4 linked regions of the Sus scrofa genome follow. The protein of the gene in region 2 interacts with the protein of the main gene of each other region in a pairwise test. Links are inferred from orthologs where the notes say so. Each region holds a gene or a part of one and is shown on either strand. Other genes may lie near its edges.

Evidence for each region. The genes of interacting proteins can lie anywhere in the genome.
Region 1: the proteins of PPP1CC (region 2) and PPP1R16A interact in binary tests that used the Homo sapiens proteins (3 or more experiments, as listed by UniProt). The link is inferred for Sus scrofa from reciprocal best matches to the Homo sapiens genes PPP1CC and PPP1R16A.
Region 3: the proteins of PPP1CC (region 2) and SFRP1 interact in a two-hybrid assay, tested with the Homo sapiens proteins (2 studies listed by BioGRID). The link is inferred for Sus scrofa from reciprocal best matches to the Homo sapiens genes PPP1CC and SFRP1.
Region 4: the proteins of PPP1CC (region 2) and ZFYVE9 interact in binary tests that used the Homo sapiens proteins (3 or more experiments, as listed by UniProt). The link is inferred for Sus scrofa from reciprocal best matches to the Homo sapiens genes PPP1CC and ZFYVE9.

Annotation. Positions count from the first base shown.
Region 1 is NC_010446.5:317,246-321,233, forward strand, and holds the start of PPP1R16A (protein phosphatase 1 regulatory subunit 16A), read right to left. Parts: upstream 2,803-3,988; 5' UTR 2,692-2,802; intron 2,686-2,691; exon of another isoform or gene 2,458-2,685; intron 1-2,457. UniProt on the Homo sapiens protein: Inhibits protein phosphatase 1 activity toward phosphorylase, myosin light chain and myosin substrates.
Region 2 is NC_010456.5:32,088,462-32,092,410, reverse strand, and holds the start of PPP1CC (serine/threonine-protein phosphatase PP1-gamma catalytic subunit), read left to right. Parts: upstream 1-1,143; coding exon 1,144-1,198; intron 1,199-3,949. UniProt on the Homo sapiens protein: Protein phosphatase that associates with over 200 regulatory proteins to form highly specific holoenzymes which dephosphorylate hundreds of biological targets.
Region 3 is NC_010459.5:10,486,972-10,491,267, forward strand, and holds the start of SFRP1 (secreted frizzled-related protein 1), read right to left. Parts: upstream 2,803-4,296; 5' UTR 2,586-2,802; coding exon 2,060-2,585; intron 1-2,059. UniProt on the Homo sapiens protein: Soluble frizzled-related proteins (sFRPS) function as modulators of Wnt signaling through direct interaction with Wnts. They have a role in regulating cell growth and differentiation in specific cell types. SFRP1 decreases intracellular beta-catenin levels.
Region 4 is NC_010448.4:160,071,674-160,075,979, reverse strand, and holds the start of ZFYVE9 (zinc finger FYVE domain-containing protein 9), read left to right. Parts: upstream 1-1,504; 5' UTR 1,505-1,835; exon of another isoform or gene 1,836-1,898; intron 1,899-2,162; exon of another isoform or gene 2,163-2,341; intron 2,342-4,306. UniProt on the Homo sapiens protein: Early endosomal protein that functions to recruit SMAD2/SMAD3 to intracellular membranes and to the TGF-beta receptor.

The sequences.
Region 1 (3,988 bases), on a different chromosome or scaffold from region 2:
CTCGGAGTTCTGTGGCCACCCTGTCACTCTCCTGTCTCCTCACCCATTTTAATTTTTGCCACTAGTTACTGTTCTCTTTTCTTTCCTTTTTTTTTTTTTTTTGTCTTTTTAGGGCCACACCCGCAGCATATGGAGGTTCCCAGGCCAGCGGTCTCATTGGAGCTGTAGCTGCCGGCCTACACCACAGCCACAGCAACGCCAGATCCTTAACCCACTGAGGAAGGCCAGGGATCCAACTTGCATCCTCATGGACTCGTTTCCGATGAGCCACGACGGAACTCCTACTGTTCTCTTTTCTGAAGCCAGGGCCTGACTTTCGGGAAGCATTCAGAGCTGGAGGAGTGACCCGTTCCGGGCCCTGGGAGGACCATGCAGAAGGGCTGCAGGTGACCCTGAGCTTGTGACTGAGCCAGCTCGATGGACAGGACCACCACTCGGCTGTGTGCGCAGCCGTGTCAGGCCAGGCTCGACGGGCACTGGGGCACAGAGCTAGCAGTGGTGCCCCAGGCACTGCCCACCCCCAGCGCTCAGCCCAGAAGAAACACGGGAGGTCTGTCAGCAACAGCGAGCAAGGCTTGCCCTGGCCTTGCGGGCCCGGGGAGGGTGTCCATTCCCGCTACTTGGTGCTGTGGCCCCACCTGGTTCTCCACGTCCACCCTACAGCCCAGCCCCCTTCCGCCTGCCGAGACCGCGAAGCTGGCAGTGCCTCCTCTGCGCCAGTCCGCAGCCTCTCCGCATCTCTGGAGACCTGGCCATTTAAACCAACTCCAGTCTCTCCACCTCCCGCACACCCCGCTTCTTCACACTGGAAGCTCAGTGAAGACTGGTCTGCGGGCCCTGTCTCTGTGCGCCCCCCGCCACGCACTCCTCTGCCAGCACCAATCTGCCCAGGCTTCGTGTCCGTCCGACACAGCCGCCCAGCAAGGACACGGCCAGCACCCAATGTCCACCGCAGGCCCCGCCCCACTGCCGTCACTGGGTTCTGGGCACAAGCTCGTCCTCCAGAGGCCTCTCCTCTGGGCATCTGCGCGACCAAGTGCTCCTGTGCCTCTCTCTCCCCGGCTCTCAGTCCGACGTGCCTAAGGCCAGAGAGCTTGGAAGGGGTGGGGTGAGGCTCACTCCCTCCCCCTCACTGCTGCAAGGGTTCAGTATGGGGGTGGCACGACACACACGTGGAAAGGGGGTCAGAAGTGGGGGCAGAGGCAGAGGACGGGGGCTAGTGTGCAGACATGCAAGTGTTAATCCTGAAGCCTGTGAGGGAGGAGAGTGCAAGAAGCTGATGTGCTATGGCGAGAAGGATGCCATCCAGGGGCTGAGACAAAGCCAAGATTGGCCAGGGGTGAGTGCTTAATCCTGGAAGGAAACGAGGAGCCACAGGGGCAGGCGAAGGGATGGACAGGAGGGCCAGGACCAGGGCTCTTTAGGAGGAAGTTCTGAGGGAGCCTGGAAGTGAAAGGAGACACTGCGTCTTGCTCTGGCTGACACACGGACTGTGGCAGAGGTGCTGGGCTGGGTCACTCTTGGGACAGAGATGCTGGGCTGAGTCACCAGAGGTTTATGAGACTGAGGTTCCAGAACTGCCCGCAGAGGCACACAAACTGTTGCGGAAATCCCAAGAACACAGACCCCAACTGAGCCCACAGACACAAGAGCCCCCTCGCTAGGTGCCGGCCAGGCAGCCTTCTAGGGAGAGCAGAGTCCAGGCACAGCCCGAGCGGGTGAGGCCAGTGGAGAGCCCACCAGAGGGAAGCGTTCCCACCCCGGCTCTGAGCAAGAGCTTACAGGCAGGGCGCAGCTGATCGGAGCACCACGTGCCCACCACCACAAGGGTTCCAGGGCCAGCCCCTGTACTGCCGGCTCCAGGCAGCCACAGGTCCTCGGGTAACTCAGCTCCAGGCTGGGGATCCACTGGATGCCCCTGAAGTGCACTAGGTGGCCCCGCCAGAGCCACAGAGGCCCTTTTACTCTGCCCCCAGGGAGAGCTCCCCCTCCTGCTGGGGAGCACCCGGAGCAGCAAAGACAGGGCAGAGAAGAGCAGTGTGGAGCCCCTGTCACCTCACCCCCAAATTAAGGATCCGGGAAGAACAGGCAGGCCCCCAGCTTTGGGAAGGGCTGGCCTTCCTCCCGCCTCCGTGGGCCTGCGATGACCCCGTACACACTGGCCCTCTCTGCACCCGCGGAGATCCAGCCCACCGTGGCCTCGGCCTCGGCTCCACCACACGGAGGACACCCCCTCCCAGGCCTGGAGCACCTCCGGGCCAGCGCAGGGCCAGGCACTTTCAGTACATTCGTTATCGTTCTTGCCGTGACAGCAATCTCGGCGCCGGAGCCCGGGGGCCCCTGGAAGGCTCCCCGTCGCTCCTCCGGCCTAAAGCCCACACAAAGCCCGGGCAGGTCACTCCTCTGCAGGCCTTAATTTCCTCAGCCAGAAATGGAGATAACGTTAGTGCCGCCTACCTGACCAACAGGTCGCAAGAAAGGAAACAACGGCACGGACGGCTAGAGGGTGAAAAGCCTATCGGTGGCCTTCACGGCCGCCACTTCTGCAGCCGTCCCGACCCTGAGCACCCGCGGCCCGGGCCTCGCCCATCAGCGCCCGAGCGGGGCCGCGGAAAAATCCCGCCGGACTCGGCGTCGCCCGCCCCGCGGGTCCCTGCAGGCCCCCCGGGGCCCCGGAAGTCCGCGCCTCACCTTCCGCCCGGAGCCAGCAGCCACCGCGCAGCCGATCGGATCCCGGCGGCCGGCCAGTCCGCCCGGCGCTCCTCCCGGCGCCGCGGGGGCGGCCCCGCGCCGGGCCCTCGCCATGGCAACGCTACACTTCCGGCTCAGAGCCGGAAGCCGGGTCGCCCCGGGCAGCGGGGCCGCCTGGGGGCGGGGCCCGCCGACGGCGCGGCGAGACCCGCTTCGGCCCGGGCGTTCTCCGCGCGGGGGGCGCCTGAAGGGCGAGGGGCCGACAGGTTCCCGGGAGGGTGGTCATCCCTTTAGCCCAAGCTTTTCTCTTTTCAGAGCCGCACCCGCGGCGTATGGAAGTTCCCAGGCTAGCGATCCAGTTGGAGCTGTAGCCGCCAGCCTACACCACAGCCACAGCAAGCAGCAACGCTGGATCCTTAACCCACTGAGCCAGGCCAGGGAGCGAACGTGCGTCCTCATGGATGTTACTGGAGTTCGTGAACCGCTGAGCCACAAACTCCTAGGCTGAGCTTTTTTTTTTTTTTTTTTTTTCTTTTGTCTTTTTTGTTGTTGTTGCTATTTCTTGGGCCGCTCCCGAGGCATATGGAGGTTCCCAGGCTAGGGGTTGAATCGGAGCTGTAGCCACCGGCCTACGCCAGAGCCACAGCAACGTGAGATCCGAGCCGCGTCTGCAACCTACACCACAGCTCACGGCAACGCCGGATCGTTAACCCACTGAGCAAGGGCAGGGACCGAACCCGCATCCTCATGGTTCCTAGTCGGATTCGTTAACCACTGCGCCACCACGGGAACTCCGTAGGCTGAGCTTTTTAAGGAGGGTTAGAGTTTGCTCCACGAAGCAGAAAGAAGCATCACGGATGGAGGGAAGAGCATGCGCAAAGGTGGAAAGAGCCAGGGCTATGGGGCGATGGGACAAGCTGAGGTGTGGTTTAGGTAGGCTTGGGCTGGTGGGGGTGTAAGTGCGGTCAGGGATCAGTCGTCAGGACAAGAGGGGCCTTGAACATAGAACCAAGAGCTGGGCTTTATCCTGGAAGCAAGGGAGTGCCAGTGGAAGAGAGGGGATGTCTTAAGGCATGTGGGAAAGAAGGACGCCTCTACTGACTGAGTGGGGCTAGGAGGCCACAATAGTTTAATGAGACACAAGGACCCCTCAATGAGCCCTGGCAATTGACAGGTGTCGAGGAGGTGACGCAGGAGTCCAGAGGAAGCCAGGTGAAGTCTGAGGCGCCTGAGACAGTGGAGGGAGCAGTGTGGTACCCGCATACCTCACCCAGCTCAGCCCCGTCGCTCCTCCAGT
Region 2 (3,949 bases):
CGGGGGGCGGGAGGGGGGGGCTGGAGAGCGATGCCCTTGGGGAGACTGGGAAGCCGAAGGAAAAGGGCCAAAGTTTCCCGGGGTATCTGCAGAAATCAGGACCCGCCCGCAAACACTTGCTCTCTTCTGGCCAAGAGCTCGGACGCGCGAAATCTGCAAATTCTCCCTTTATTTGAAGGTGAACGCTCGCTCACCTTCGTTCTGCCTAGAATCAGGGTAACCGTTCCGATGATTATATAACTTCCCGAATTCTAGAAAGATAATCCAAAGATAGGGATGATTAATTTTTTCAAGATTTTTTAAAAAAATTCCCCCAAAGTTTGAGAGCGCCCCCAAAAAAACTGTACATATAAATACCTGTAAATACAGGTGGAAATCCACCACTCAAAATGAGTAACTGTTAACATTTTTATTTATCTGAGAGACGACTTTTTTTCCTAGTTATCAAGCCTTCCCCTTACCCCCAAATCCCAGCAAATCTGACTCCAAAAAAAGTCACCCTACTTCTCTTTATTATTCTCCCTCTTCACCTCTACCCCAGATTTATGTTTAGGGGAAATTCCAGCACCCCCGGATTCCCTCCATGGGCTTTCACATGGCCAGGTCCGCAAACATCTGGCCCCAATGAACAGCGTCCTGCGGAGGCCGAATCTTTGGGCGCACAACTGCAGCTTCACCCCAGGCCACAACTCCCGCGTGCGACTTTGCAACTCACGCTCCCGCCACAGGACCTATTTGCTCAGCCCGTTTGGCGGAAGGATTCCGCGCGCGAACGCGGTTGTGCTCAACTGTCTCCTCCCCCTTCCCGCGCTCTGGCCCCGCCTCCTTCCCGAGCCCTGATCCCGCCCCCTCCCGCGTGCCCTGTGGCCCATAAAGAAGTCCCGGCCGGGCCGCTGCACTCCCCCGCGCGCATTCGTGCGCCGCCCGAGGCTGGCTAAGGAGTCGGCGGCCATTTTGTTCTTCTCGTGGTTCCAGTAGGGAGAGAGGAGGAAGCAGGGAGCGGGGCGGTTGGGGGGGACCCGCCGCGGCTTCTGCCACCGCCGCCACCACCATTTCTGTGCTCGTGGCGTGGGAAAGGAGGCGTGAATCCCGGGCGCGAGCCGGTGGCGGCGCCGCTACGGGAGGGTCGGCGGTGGGAAGGCGATGGCGGATATAGATAAACTCAACATCGACAGCATCATCCAACGGCTGCTGGAAGGTGAAGGGGGCGGCGGGCGGCTCCGGGAACTCGCGAGGGTGGGGGATTTGGGAGGCCTCTTGGGCTTGCAGCGCCGAGGGGAGTGAGCCCCACGAGTTCGCCCCCGAGCCGGGGGCTGCAGCCGGAGGGAGGCCGCCCGTGGTCCCGCTCTTGGCCTAATCCGCGGACCCTCCAGCTCCGCTCATTCATTGCACGAGGGTGCAGCCTTTCTCCTGGCCGTGAAATTTGAAAACTCCGCTCCCCACCCCCACGTTTCCGGTACGTGCCCCCCATGCGCCCCGCAACCCCGGCCAATCTTCGGAGAAGATTGGGGGGCCCCAGTCCATTCTGCAAGAAGAAATGTTCCGAACTTTCTGGTAACTCCTCCTCTCGGAAAGCAATGTGATGGGGCTATGGATCCTCCCGGGCTTGAGGACTAATTTCTTTGCTTCTCATTTTTATTTTTTGTGAGGTTGGGGTCCACTGGCCCGTTTCTTGTTACTTGGTGACGAACGTTCAAATCTCAAGAGGATGTTGAATCCCATCTCCTACTCTTCCCAAACACTTTTTTAAAGTTGTTCTTACCTTGAGGTCTCCGCGCTCTTTTCTGAACGTGCCTCCGAACCGTGCAGCCAGCAGCGGTGACAGTTTCGTTAGAATCTTTCCAGTGTGCCATTCTCTGTGTTAAGCGCTTTGCGTTCATCTGATAAATACAATCTTAGTATTAGCCAGTGTTTACTATGTGTCGGGCATTTTTGGAGCACTTTACACAGATTTCTTGTAATTCTCCCAACAGTCTTATGAGATAGGTGCTCTTTTTTTCCTATTTTTTTTTAGAGGAAACTAAGAGAAGTCACTTTACCAAGGTCACACGGTGACAGGTTTAAAACCCAGACATCCAGGAGCAAGAATTCATTCAAGTCAGCCTGTGTGTGAAGGAAGGAGGTGTCCAGTGGTTAAGCAGAGGTTAAAATAAATCTTTAATATTGGGTGACCTAAGACTCGTGAGGTGTCTGACAGTTGATTCATATTGATATGGGTGACAGATGAAGTAGGGATTTTAAGGAGGGACGCTGAAGTGAAATCATTCCCCACTACCCCCAAATTCCAGAGCCCACCTATTAATACTGATGTCTAATTCCAAACTTTGAAAGAATTCAAATCTTTCCTGATTCGGGTTCTTGATAATGTAGGTTTGGCCGAGTTTTTAACTGGTTTTTGCCTTTGTGCAGTTCTAAAATACTGCTGTAAATGTTGTGGGAGATGGAGTCGAGAGCATGAACAGTTGGTCAGCTCTGATGTTAGAGTTTGCAGATCTTTTAAGTCATTAGAATGAAACTCCTGAAAATATCTTAATCTGTGTGGGGTGTTTTCCTTTTCTAGTTTCTCAAAAGAAGAACCCATTAAATAGACCCCTAAAATGCTTCTGCCATTTGTGGGTGAAAACCCTATTTACTCAGTACTTGGCATTTATTATAAGAACAACACTTTTAATATTAATATTAAATATTAATAGAGTTCTTTGATTTATGTGAGCAGCAGTGGGTCAGAAAGATTAAAGCAGTTGGCACTAAGAACTTAGTTTTTTTTGGTTCAAAAGTTGTGAATTAACTTGTGCGTATCTATCCAGGGGTGCATGTGCCGAAAGAGTGGGCTTTATTTCATTGAGAAAGGGGGTCTGTGGATTCAAAACATTAGAATTTTAAGATAAATTCTAGGTTGCCCATGAGTCTTATATCCATATATTTTAAAGTGTGCTAAGAAATTTTCCTTGATAAACTTGGATAATCTAAAATGAGAGCAATTGTTTTTTAATGGTTTCTATATAAATATTGCACTTGAAAAACCAGGGTTTTTTTTAAATTTCATTTTTTTTTTCACTGACATTAATATAATGTTGTGTTTTAATGCCTTGGGAGTAAGCTAGCTGTTCATCAGACTTCCTTTTTTTCTCATAAATGTTAAATTGATGGAGAAACAGTGAAAAATAATCCACTGAGGATCTGTATAACATCCAAGATAGAAGATGTTGATAATAAGTTTGTGAATTTTTTTTAATGCCTCACAAAATTTTCACTTAAGATTTTAAGTATATCTGAAAATATACTTAAATTTTTAGTATTTAAGGGAGGGAATGTGAGTTTTGTGACCTTGGTAGAATTTTTTACATGTTAGTTCACTTTTAAAAAAAAGGTGGAGGACTCTACGGGCTAGTTGAGAAGTAACTCAGTAATAGCACTAAAAAAAAAAAAAAAAAAAAAAAAGACAACTCAAAAGTGAGGTCTTATTTAAGAGAACACCATGTTGGTTTTAGATTTTAACCACTACAGCTACTCTAAACTTTTAGTAGTTTTTCCTAAGGAGGCATCACTTCTACACGCCACCTTGGAAAGTCTGCCTTACAGGTGATAAAACCTTAATGTTTGTTGTCACTCCTTCGTATTACTAATGTTCACTTATTTAAATAACTGCACGGTGAAACTTTGGGTTCAGGAAAATAAACTAGCAGTTGACTTGTCCGATAGTTCTACTGTGTTGGAGAGAAGTGAAATTGAGACTGATTTATTTTGTGATCTTGTTCAGGGAGCAGTGAGGGCCAGCGCTTTTCCTGCAGAGCAGGCAGTTGTAAGTTGTTTTCACGTCCTGATTGGCCAGCAGCATCTTGGCTCTGAAGATGGCCATTGTCAAACTGCAAGACTGCCAGCCTCTGCACAATTGCTTGCCTTGCTTTAGTGATTTAAATATGACCTCTGACTTGTAAAAAAACAACCC
Region 3 (4,296 bases), on a different chromosome or scaffold from region 2:
GAGTTATTTCTCATTACCAAGTTTATCTTTAATGGCATGACTTCAAAGGTCTGCCCAAGTATGGGAACTGAATTAAAAAACCCAGTTTTAATTTCACAGAAGAAAAGAGTCAACATAGCACAAGTATAGTTAATCTCATCCAAAAGTACCAGTTCTTATTCTGGAGCCACCAGTCATCAGGTCATGGGGACCGGAGTCTGGTCGGTCTCAACCTGCCCTACACACACACAACGCTCCCACTTCTGTGCTCAGCTGACAGTCAGCAGCCACCTCTGGGCCTCAGAGGAAGTCCTGTAGGACCCACTTCTACCAAGAGGCAGAAGCAATGCCTCCCACAGAGCCTTCTCACCAAAAACACTGCGGGGAGAATCAGACCCCAAGTCCCTTCAAGCCGGTCTCTGTTTGCAGAGTGACTACTTGAGACCCCTGAGATGGAGTGAGAAGAGAGAGAAAATGGTACGCAGGGCAGATTCTGGAGACAGACAAGTGCAACAGCAGCCAGGGAGCAAAAGGCTTCAAGTCAGCAATTATTTGATTCCCTCCTCCCAACACTCCATCCCAGCCTTCTCCGGCTGGAGTTGGGAGGATCCTTGCCACTTCATAAGCAGGCACCCCAGCCAGTGTCCCATCTTCCCATCCACAGGGGGTTCCCCTTTGGAAGGTCTCCAGCACTGGTTATGCCAGAAAGAAACCCCTTGGGAGTGAGTGGACCCAGCCTCAGCAGGGCTGGCCGAGGCTTCCTCTGGCTGGGCTGGTTTCCCCCGCCAGAGGTGAAGAAGGGGAGAAGGCAAATCCCCTGGGATTTTGTGCTTTGTCTGCTCCAGGTAGCCACTGGGCTCTCCATCTCAAAGCCTCCCTCTGCAGGCGGCCTGCCACCCCAGGACAGCCACCCTGGTCCCATCTCCTCCTTCCCGGGATCAGCATGGGCACTCAAAATTCGAAGTGCCTCCCCCGGCTCACCACCACCGCATCCTCACTCTGGGGCCACTCAGTGCACATTCCTCCTTTGGCATCACTTGCCCATGAGTTAGGTCAGCAGGCAGAGGGTGCCCCCCACCCTAAACCCTTTCCTCCAGAAGTCCCCCAGGGCCGGGGGACGTACGTCCCTGTGCTCAGCGCATTGGGATTGGTGGCCTCCGCGTCTCTGAGCCTCAACTCTACTTCCGAAAAATTCCGCGTTGAACTCACGCCTCTTAAAAGTCCGGCCACTGGGCTGGGTTGTTTTCGTTGGGTTCGTTTTTGTGGCGGTGTTTTGCCGCTCATTAACTTGTTTCATTCGGTTTCGCTGCCTCCCCGTCACTAAGGGCCCTTTAAGTGGGAGGGGCTGTTAGGAAAGGCTCCAATTTGCGGGAGCCCCGCTCCCCCCAGGAGAACTCAACAATGAGCTAATGACAATTTTATCTTTCTAATGACTTGAGGATTTGTGTAAATGAGAGAGGCAGCGGGGGAGGGATGCAGGAAGCACAGAGAAGAGCCTTTCCATCCCTAAGCCTCCCCGAGTCTTTACCTGAAAGGAAGAAAGCCCCAAAGTTTCTAAACTTTTTTCTTGGTCCTCTCCGCACCAGTCCTGGAGCAACTTAGCTGAATGACTAGCTAAGGAAAGAGTTGTGTATGTGTGTGTTTGTGTGTATGTGTGTGCGTTTTAAAAGCTCCCCGAACCTAAGAAAATAAACAAAGCTGAGCCTTAGCTTTTTCTCGGCCTTTCTGAGCTTCCCAGATTTGGGGTTTGGGTGTTTGTTTCCTGGCGCATCCCATCTGCGGGGGCGGGGGGGGGCGCGTCAGAATTCCCATGGGGACTCGGGTCCCTCCCAGAGGAAAGATGAGCTCTTCTCGGAACCAGAGCTAAGGCTTTGTTTCAGGTGCGGAGAAAGCGAGACTGGATCCCCGGGACAGCGGCTCCAGGAACCGGACCGGGTGTGCGCCGGGCTCGCCCAGCCGCGCACCACTTCGGACGGGTTGGAAGCTCTTGGGGCCGATGGGCACGGCTGAGAGCAACCTCCAGGGAGCACGTCCCCCGTCCCGGGGCGCAGTGTAGACAGCCCCGGGGCCCCCGCCTCACCTTGGGGCTTGGAGGCCTCGGTGGCGTTAGGCGGGGTCATGGCGATGCAGACGTCGCCCTCGGGGAACTTGTCACACTTGAGCATCTCGGGCCAGTAGAAGCCGAAGAACTGCATGACGGGCTCGCACGAGTCGCGCACGGCCTCGCAGAGCCAGCGGCAAGGGTAGATGGGCCGGTCCAGGCAGACGGGCGCGAAGAGCGAACAGAGGAAGACCTGGGTGCCGATGTGGCAGTTCTTGTTGAGCAGGGGCACCCAGCTGCTGGCCTGCTGCTTCACCTCGGCCATGGTCTCGTGCTCCAGCAGGTTAGGCAGCACCATCTTCTTGTAGCCCACGTTGTGGCAGAGCCGCAGGTCTACCGGGATGTCCACGCACTGCGGCGGCTTGGTGTAGAAGCGCCCGCTCTGGTACGAGCCAATGTCCGACTGGAAACTCACGTAGTCGTACTCGCTGGCCGAACCCGCGGCCAGGAGCCCGGCGGCCAGCGCCAGCAGCACTCCCGCCGCGGCCCAGCGCCCGCCGCCCATGCTCGGCGCCCCGGCCCCCGCGACGCGGGGCGTCCTCGGCCGCCTCCCCGCGCGCGTCCCGCCGCGAACTTCCAGGGACCCTCGCGGACAAAAGGCGCAGTCCGCACCCGCCGCAGCTCAGCGGCCGCGGGCTCCTGCCCGGCGCTGGATGGGGGCCCTGGGGAGCTCGCGCGGGGAGGCGAGCGCGCGGCCCGAGTGCGGCGCGGCTCCCGAGGCGGCGGGACCCGAGTCCCCGGCGCTCCCGCGGCCGAGCCCTCCGAGCCGCGCCAGCCAATCACGCTGGCCGCCGCGAGCGCTCAGGACCCGCCCGTCAGTCACCCGCGCCGCCGGCCAATCGGCTTGCGGCTCCCCGGCGGGAGGGGTCGGTTCCCTAGAACTCAGCGCAGGTCAACACCCCTTAAAAAACAAAACCAAAAAATAAATGAAGAAAGAAAGAAGGGGGGAGAGAGAGGAAGAAAAAAAAAGGAGGGGGGAGAGAGACGACGGATAGAAGTGTGCGGTGGATAAAGACGATGTTTAACGCTGTAATTAACTTGAGTGGGATCACAGGAAAGCAAAGAACCGCAACAGTACTTGCAAATCCATAAGATAATGAAGACTTTAAAAAACATAAAAATAAACACTTTTTCGTAACTTTACGCAGCAGCCCACCTCCTCGGGTTTGTTCTCCGTGGCTGCGGTACGCAGACGGGCAGTTTCCAAGACCCGGCTCACGAAGCCTACAGCGAAGGAGGTCGGCTTTTAAATCCCCAGCTGGTCGTCTTGGCTTCCCGCAAAGAACCAGGGAAAGGGGTAGTCGGGTTGTCCGCTGGCTTTAAAAGGCAATGCCTTTCCAAGGTGGGACAAGATGATTGATGGCCCTCCGACCCCCTGGAGGCAGTGAGTCGGGAAAGGGTGCTCGCAAAGGTGTTAGCCTGGGGAGGACAATTACAAAAAGAAAAAGAAGAAAGAAAGAAACCCCTGCTCGAGGCCCAGCCCGACAGCTCGTCTGTGTGTGCACGCATATGCACGTTGACATGTTTGTGGTATAGAAAGCCACAACATTAGAAACACATGCGCACTTATCAGCGTGGCTTGTGTAAATATCAAGTCCATCACTCAAGCACACATGCTACATTCATAGCTGGCCCAGGAGCCTCCAGTCAAAAATTCAGGGTTCCCGGTAAGGCAGAAGAAGCCAAGAGGGAAGTATGAGCAGAGAAACAGCTCGGCCTTCTCATCGAGCCCTGGACACCCACCCTGAAACAGAACTCTCCCCCACCACCCTCTGACCCAGAGGCCCTGGGGATTCCTTGTATGTTTCAAAAGGGTACCCTGAGAGGGAAGTGTAATCCAGAAAGCTGGGGGTGTAATTATGATTAATCCCAGGGCAGGGAGATAGCAACAAGCAGTTCATGCGGCTGTCTGGGTCTCCCACCCTGAAGTGTGGGGTGAAGGAAGGCATCTGAGCAGGGCGGCACCACCCCCAGGTGGCAAATGGGCCACAGAGCTCTGAGCTCAGGGCAGACATGGGAGAAGGCGCTGTCTTGCTGGGCTAGCTTGTTTGTAAAGCTCTGGGGAAGCTTGCTCTGGACGCTGCAGAGCAAATTTCTTGATGGACAGATTCCAAGTCAAACGACTAGCGTTTTGGAAGGAGCCAGGCTATTTTCTTAAAGCACTCCGGCCTCTACGCAGGTGGGGGTTCCGCTGTGCACATGGGCAACGTCTGCAG
Region 4 (4,306 bases), on a different chromosome or scaffold from region 2:
TTATTATTAGGACATAACCTTAGGTAAGGTGAGATTGCCTTATAATTCTTTTTTTTATATAGAGGAATATATTGGTTCTTTGCAGATATCTGCTATGCAACAGAATGTCATAGGATCAGGTATACTAGGCTCTATTCTTCTTCAGTGGAGGGATGTTATATAAGTCCATTAGTGAAATTTAAAGAAATTTTACCCAGACCAAGAATGACGAAGAATAATGCACCCATTTTTTTTTAATGCACCCATCTTTCCATAGGAAAACACACACACACACACACAGATTTTGAAAGAAAAAGATGAGAAAAATCTTGAATTTAAGGACTGAGGGTGTTTCGGAATCAACAGTAATAGGAACTAACATTTATTGAGTAACTTCCATGGGCTAGTTCCTTTGCAAAATTATCTCCAATCTTTGCAACAATCAGCAAGGCAGGCATCAGAAAATCGAGGTTCCTAAATATTATATAACTTGCCCAGGATCATAAAATTAAACACAACAGAGCTGGAATTGGTGCCTCTGCCAGGATCTGTCTGCCACCAAAGACCCTGCTCATTCTACTACATACTTAATGATAAAATCATGTATTTGGAAAAACTGGGGACCAGAGGATTTGAACAATTTCTCTTTCCCTCTTTTCCCTCTGAGAGCCTTTCTTTTGTTTTTGGTTCTGATGTTTTCACCCTAGAGTTTGAGTGGGATCGAATATAGGGTACCTGTAAAGAGAATGATTCCACAGCCCCCACAATATAACAATTTCTTTCCTTTAGAGCCTTACCTGGGATGTGGAAGGGACTGGGGATGGATGAGCGGAGTGGGGGTGGGGGTGGGGGTGGGGGAGTGTGTTAGAATATGGATTGTTTTTCTCTTAATTTTAGATTGTTTATAAATTTCAGGACAACTCGTTTATTTTCTTCTCTTGCTTGTCTTATTATTATTAATTTGTTCTATTTTGGGGGAGGTTGGGTGTTAAGGGTTTGGTATCTGTTGGGAATTCCTGAAATGATTTGCCAATAGATCCAAAAAAAAGTTAAGGTCAAAGACAATTCCTTCATCTGTTTCAGGAAAGGATGCGTGGGGGGGGGGGTTGATTCTGGGTCACCCTTCTTACATCCAGACGCACTGAACGGATTACAAAGGCTACCCCTTGAATCTCGAGAGGTGAAATCCAGGAGATTCCCCTCACATCCCTGCTCTCAGGTGAAGGTCCGAGTGAGAGGAACGTTCACGTACCTTCTGGAGAGAAGGAAAAGGTGTAAAGATGCTCATGGCCTGAGGCCTAGGGAGTGGGGAGGAGACCCACTAAGGTCGGTGGGGACCGAGGGGCTTCCGGGGGGCGTCGTCGGGGGCGGTCCGGCGGCCCCAGGGCGACGCAGGGAGCCCGGGGCCCCCGCCATCCCCAGGCCGCGCTCCCTCGCGTTCCCTGCGGCTCGTGCCCGGGCGGCCGCCGCAGTCCCGGCGCCGTAGCCGGGCGTGGGGTCCAGGGGGCGCTGTGGCCCAGCGGCGCCGGCGGCAGGAGCGGCCACGGCGACGCTGGAGGCTTCGCCGAGGATCCCCGCCTGCAGCACCTCGGTCGTCCCGCTGCAGCCTCGCACCCCCCGCCCGGCTCAGCGGCGCTCCTGCGGGATCCGCGTGGCTGCGGCGGCCCGGGAGCCCGATGAGGCTCGGCGGGCGCTGGGCCTCAGCACCAGCGGCGACCACAGCCCCTTCAGGAGTGGGAGGCTTCGCGGCGGCGGCGGCGGCGGCGCCTGGGGCCGGGCGGGTGCCCTCCGGAGGAGGCTGTGGGCTCAGGGACGACCCCCCGGCCATGCTGAGGCGGCGGCGGCCGCTGCTCGAGGTGAGTGTGACGCGGCGTCGCGCGGTCCCGGGCTCGCTGGCCTTTGGCCGCCCGGGGAGGGCCCTGGCGGCGAGACCTCGGGCCGGGCGGACGGGGCGTCCTGCCGCTGCGGCCGCCTCCCCCACCCAGGCTCGGGGGCCTCAGCCCTTCCTCCCCGCGTCCCCCGGGGGGCTGGAGGCGCGTGGGGGACGAGTAGGCCCCGCGTCGCCGGGAAGCCCTTGCCCCGGCCTGGGCTCCGGGGCGGCCGCGTCTGTGGAGAGCGGGGCTGGCAGGGTCCCTGGCACCCTTCGGGTTGGCCGCGGGCCCGGGCCGAGCGCAGCCTCTTACCCTGGGCCCCGCACGTACATCCCGGAGGGAGGCAGAGGACGCCTGTTTGCAAACAGCCTGGGCTTCTCGCGCCCCAGGCTCAGTCCCGAAGAGTCCCGGGGGTCGGGGGCGGGAGGGTGAGAAAGCCGGTGCGGAAAGCGCGGGGCCCTGGAAGCCCTTGGAACTCCCTGGAGTGTCATTCACCCATCCGACTGGCTTGAAAACAACCTTTTGCGTCTTCTTTGAGGTGAAATTTCATCACCTACCGGCAGCTCATCTCTGCTGCTTCTGTTACCTTTTGCTTCTAAGCGTGGTCTGCCTCGGAGAAAGCCCCATTCCAGCTTTGAGATGTTAACGTCTCCCAGATAATACTCAAAATTAGAAAAACATCTTTTTTAAAAAAACAAAGGTCTGTTCCCCCCATCACCCCTCCCCCCCGTAAGAGTGTGAGTATTGTAATGCCTTAGTCCGTGGTTCAAAATTGTCCCCCTAAATAGATCCATAGGATGGATGACAAGAGGATTTTAAAAAGTCATGCTAACTATCCCAGTAACAGAGACCTGATGGAAATAGGACATATTCTAGATTTTAGTAATTAAGTGATTTATTTTGGTATTAATATAAAAAAAAGTTGGTGATCACGGTTTGATACCATTAAGTCAGCCCTTTGGGTATTTATGATAAATGTGGTTCAGGTTATTCTTGTTTTCCTATAATGTATGTGAAGTATGGAGGATTATTAAGTACTTATAAAACTTTTATAATCCTGAAAATATATGTTTATTGTAGAAAATTTGAAAAGTACAGAGAAGTACTGTGCTGACCCTCAGTAAATGTTTAATAATAGGGGAAAAGTCACCCATCATCTTACAGAACGTTTTGGTCACTTAAAGTTTAAAATGGCTTGTATTACTGGTGATTTTTAAATTATTATCTCTGTATTAGCTTCAGAGTTAACTGTTCCATTTTACTGTTTAACATCCAGTCATTTGTATAAAAATGTTTTGCTAAATTACGTTGCAGTCATAGTTGAATTTATTAGCTACTACCTAAAAGACCCCTGATTTACCTCCTGTGCAGCTTCAGTTTTAAGGAGGTTTTGTGTATTGAACTTTTTTTTTTGAGGACCTGTTCTATTAGATGCCATAGCCTTGTATTGTTTTTTTGTTAAGATTTTCCCTAAATATTTATAACTGTAAAAAAATTGACTTCATTAAAAAGTTGGGGGGAGGTAGATTAATTTAGGTTTTAAAAAATCCAGTTCAGTTCTTACTGTGTCCCTAAAGACTATCATTATTAGAATCACTGAGAGTGCTTATTAGCATATGCAGATTCCTGGCACTCTGAACCACAATTTCTAGAGTGGTAAGTGACCCAAGATGTTCATTTTTATCAAGCTCCCCAGTACTTAGTCTTACTAAAGTTTTCGAATCACTGATAATAAGTTTAAAGTTTAACTAGCCTTATCAAGCTGAATGAAAATACCTGTTTTCTAGCAAAGTTATCAGTCTTAAGTGGCTATACAGTCATTTCTCATAGCAACAGCTGATGGTGTTATAATCTCGAGAAAATGATGATCTTTCAAGGGACAGCTGAGTCAATCTACGTAAACTTATTGAGGGCCTTTTTTGGTAGTTGTGGTGTTACAGAAGGATGCCTGGCCTCTTGAACCTTAGCTCTTAGTCTTGGACTTTGGTATCATTGTAAAATTCAGATAGTTATTATACTTATCTTGAAAGGCTTTTAGGGTAAATACATCTGAAAAAGGTTTTTGATCTGTAAAATATCTTTGTAAAATTTTATCTATTGGTATTAAGTGCCAGGTCCTGTTTTTGCTGTTTTGAGGAACACAAAAATGACCAAGGTCTCTGTTAGCAACTAGCTAATTATGGAAGCAGGATATGTTTAATTAACTGTTACAAGGCAGAGTCAGACAAGTGTAATGGAGTGGAACATGCTAGAACTCTCTTTAAGGCTTCTATAAACTGTTTAATCCAGTAGCTTGCTCTTTATTAGTAATTTTTATATATGATCATTCTTTTTTTTTTTTTTCCAACTCCTGATGCAGTGTTTTATTCTTTACAAAGAAAATTGTGTATGTTGCCTGGTAAGAGATAGTTTTATATTAACTCCTTTAGAAAGGCTTTGAGTGGAGATGATCCTGT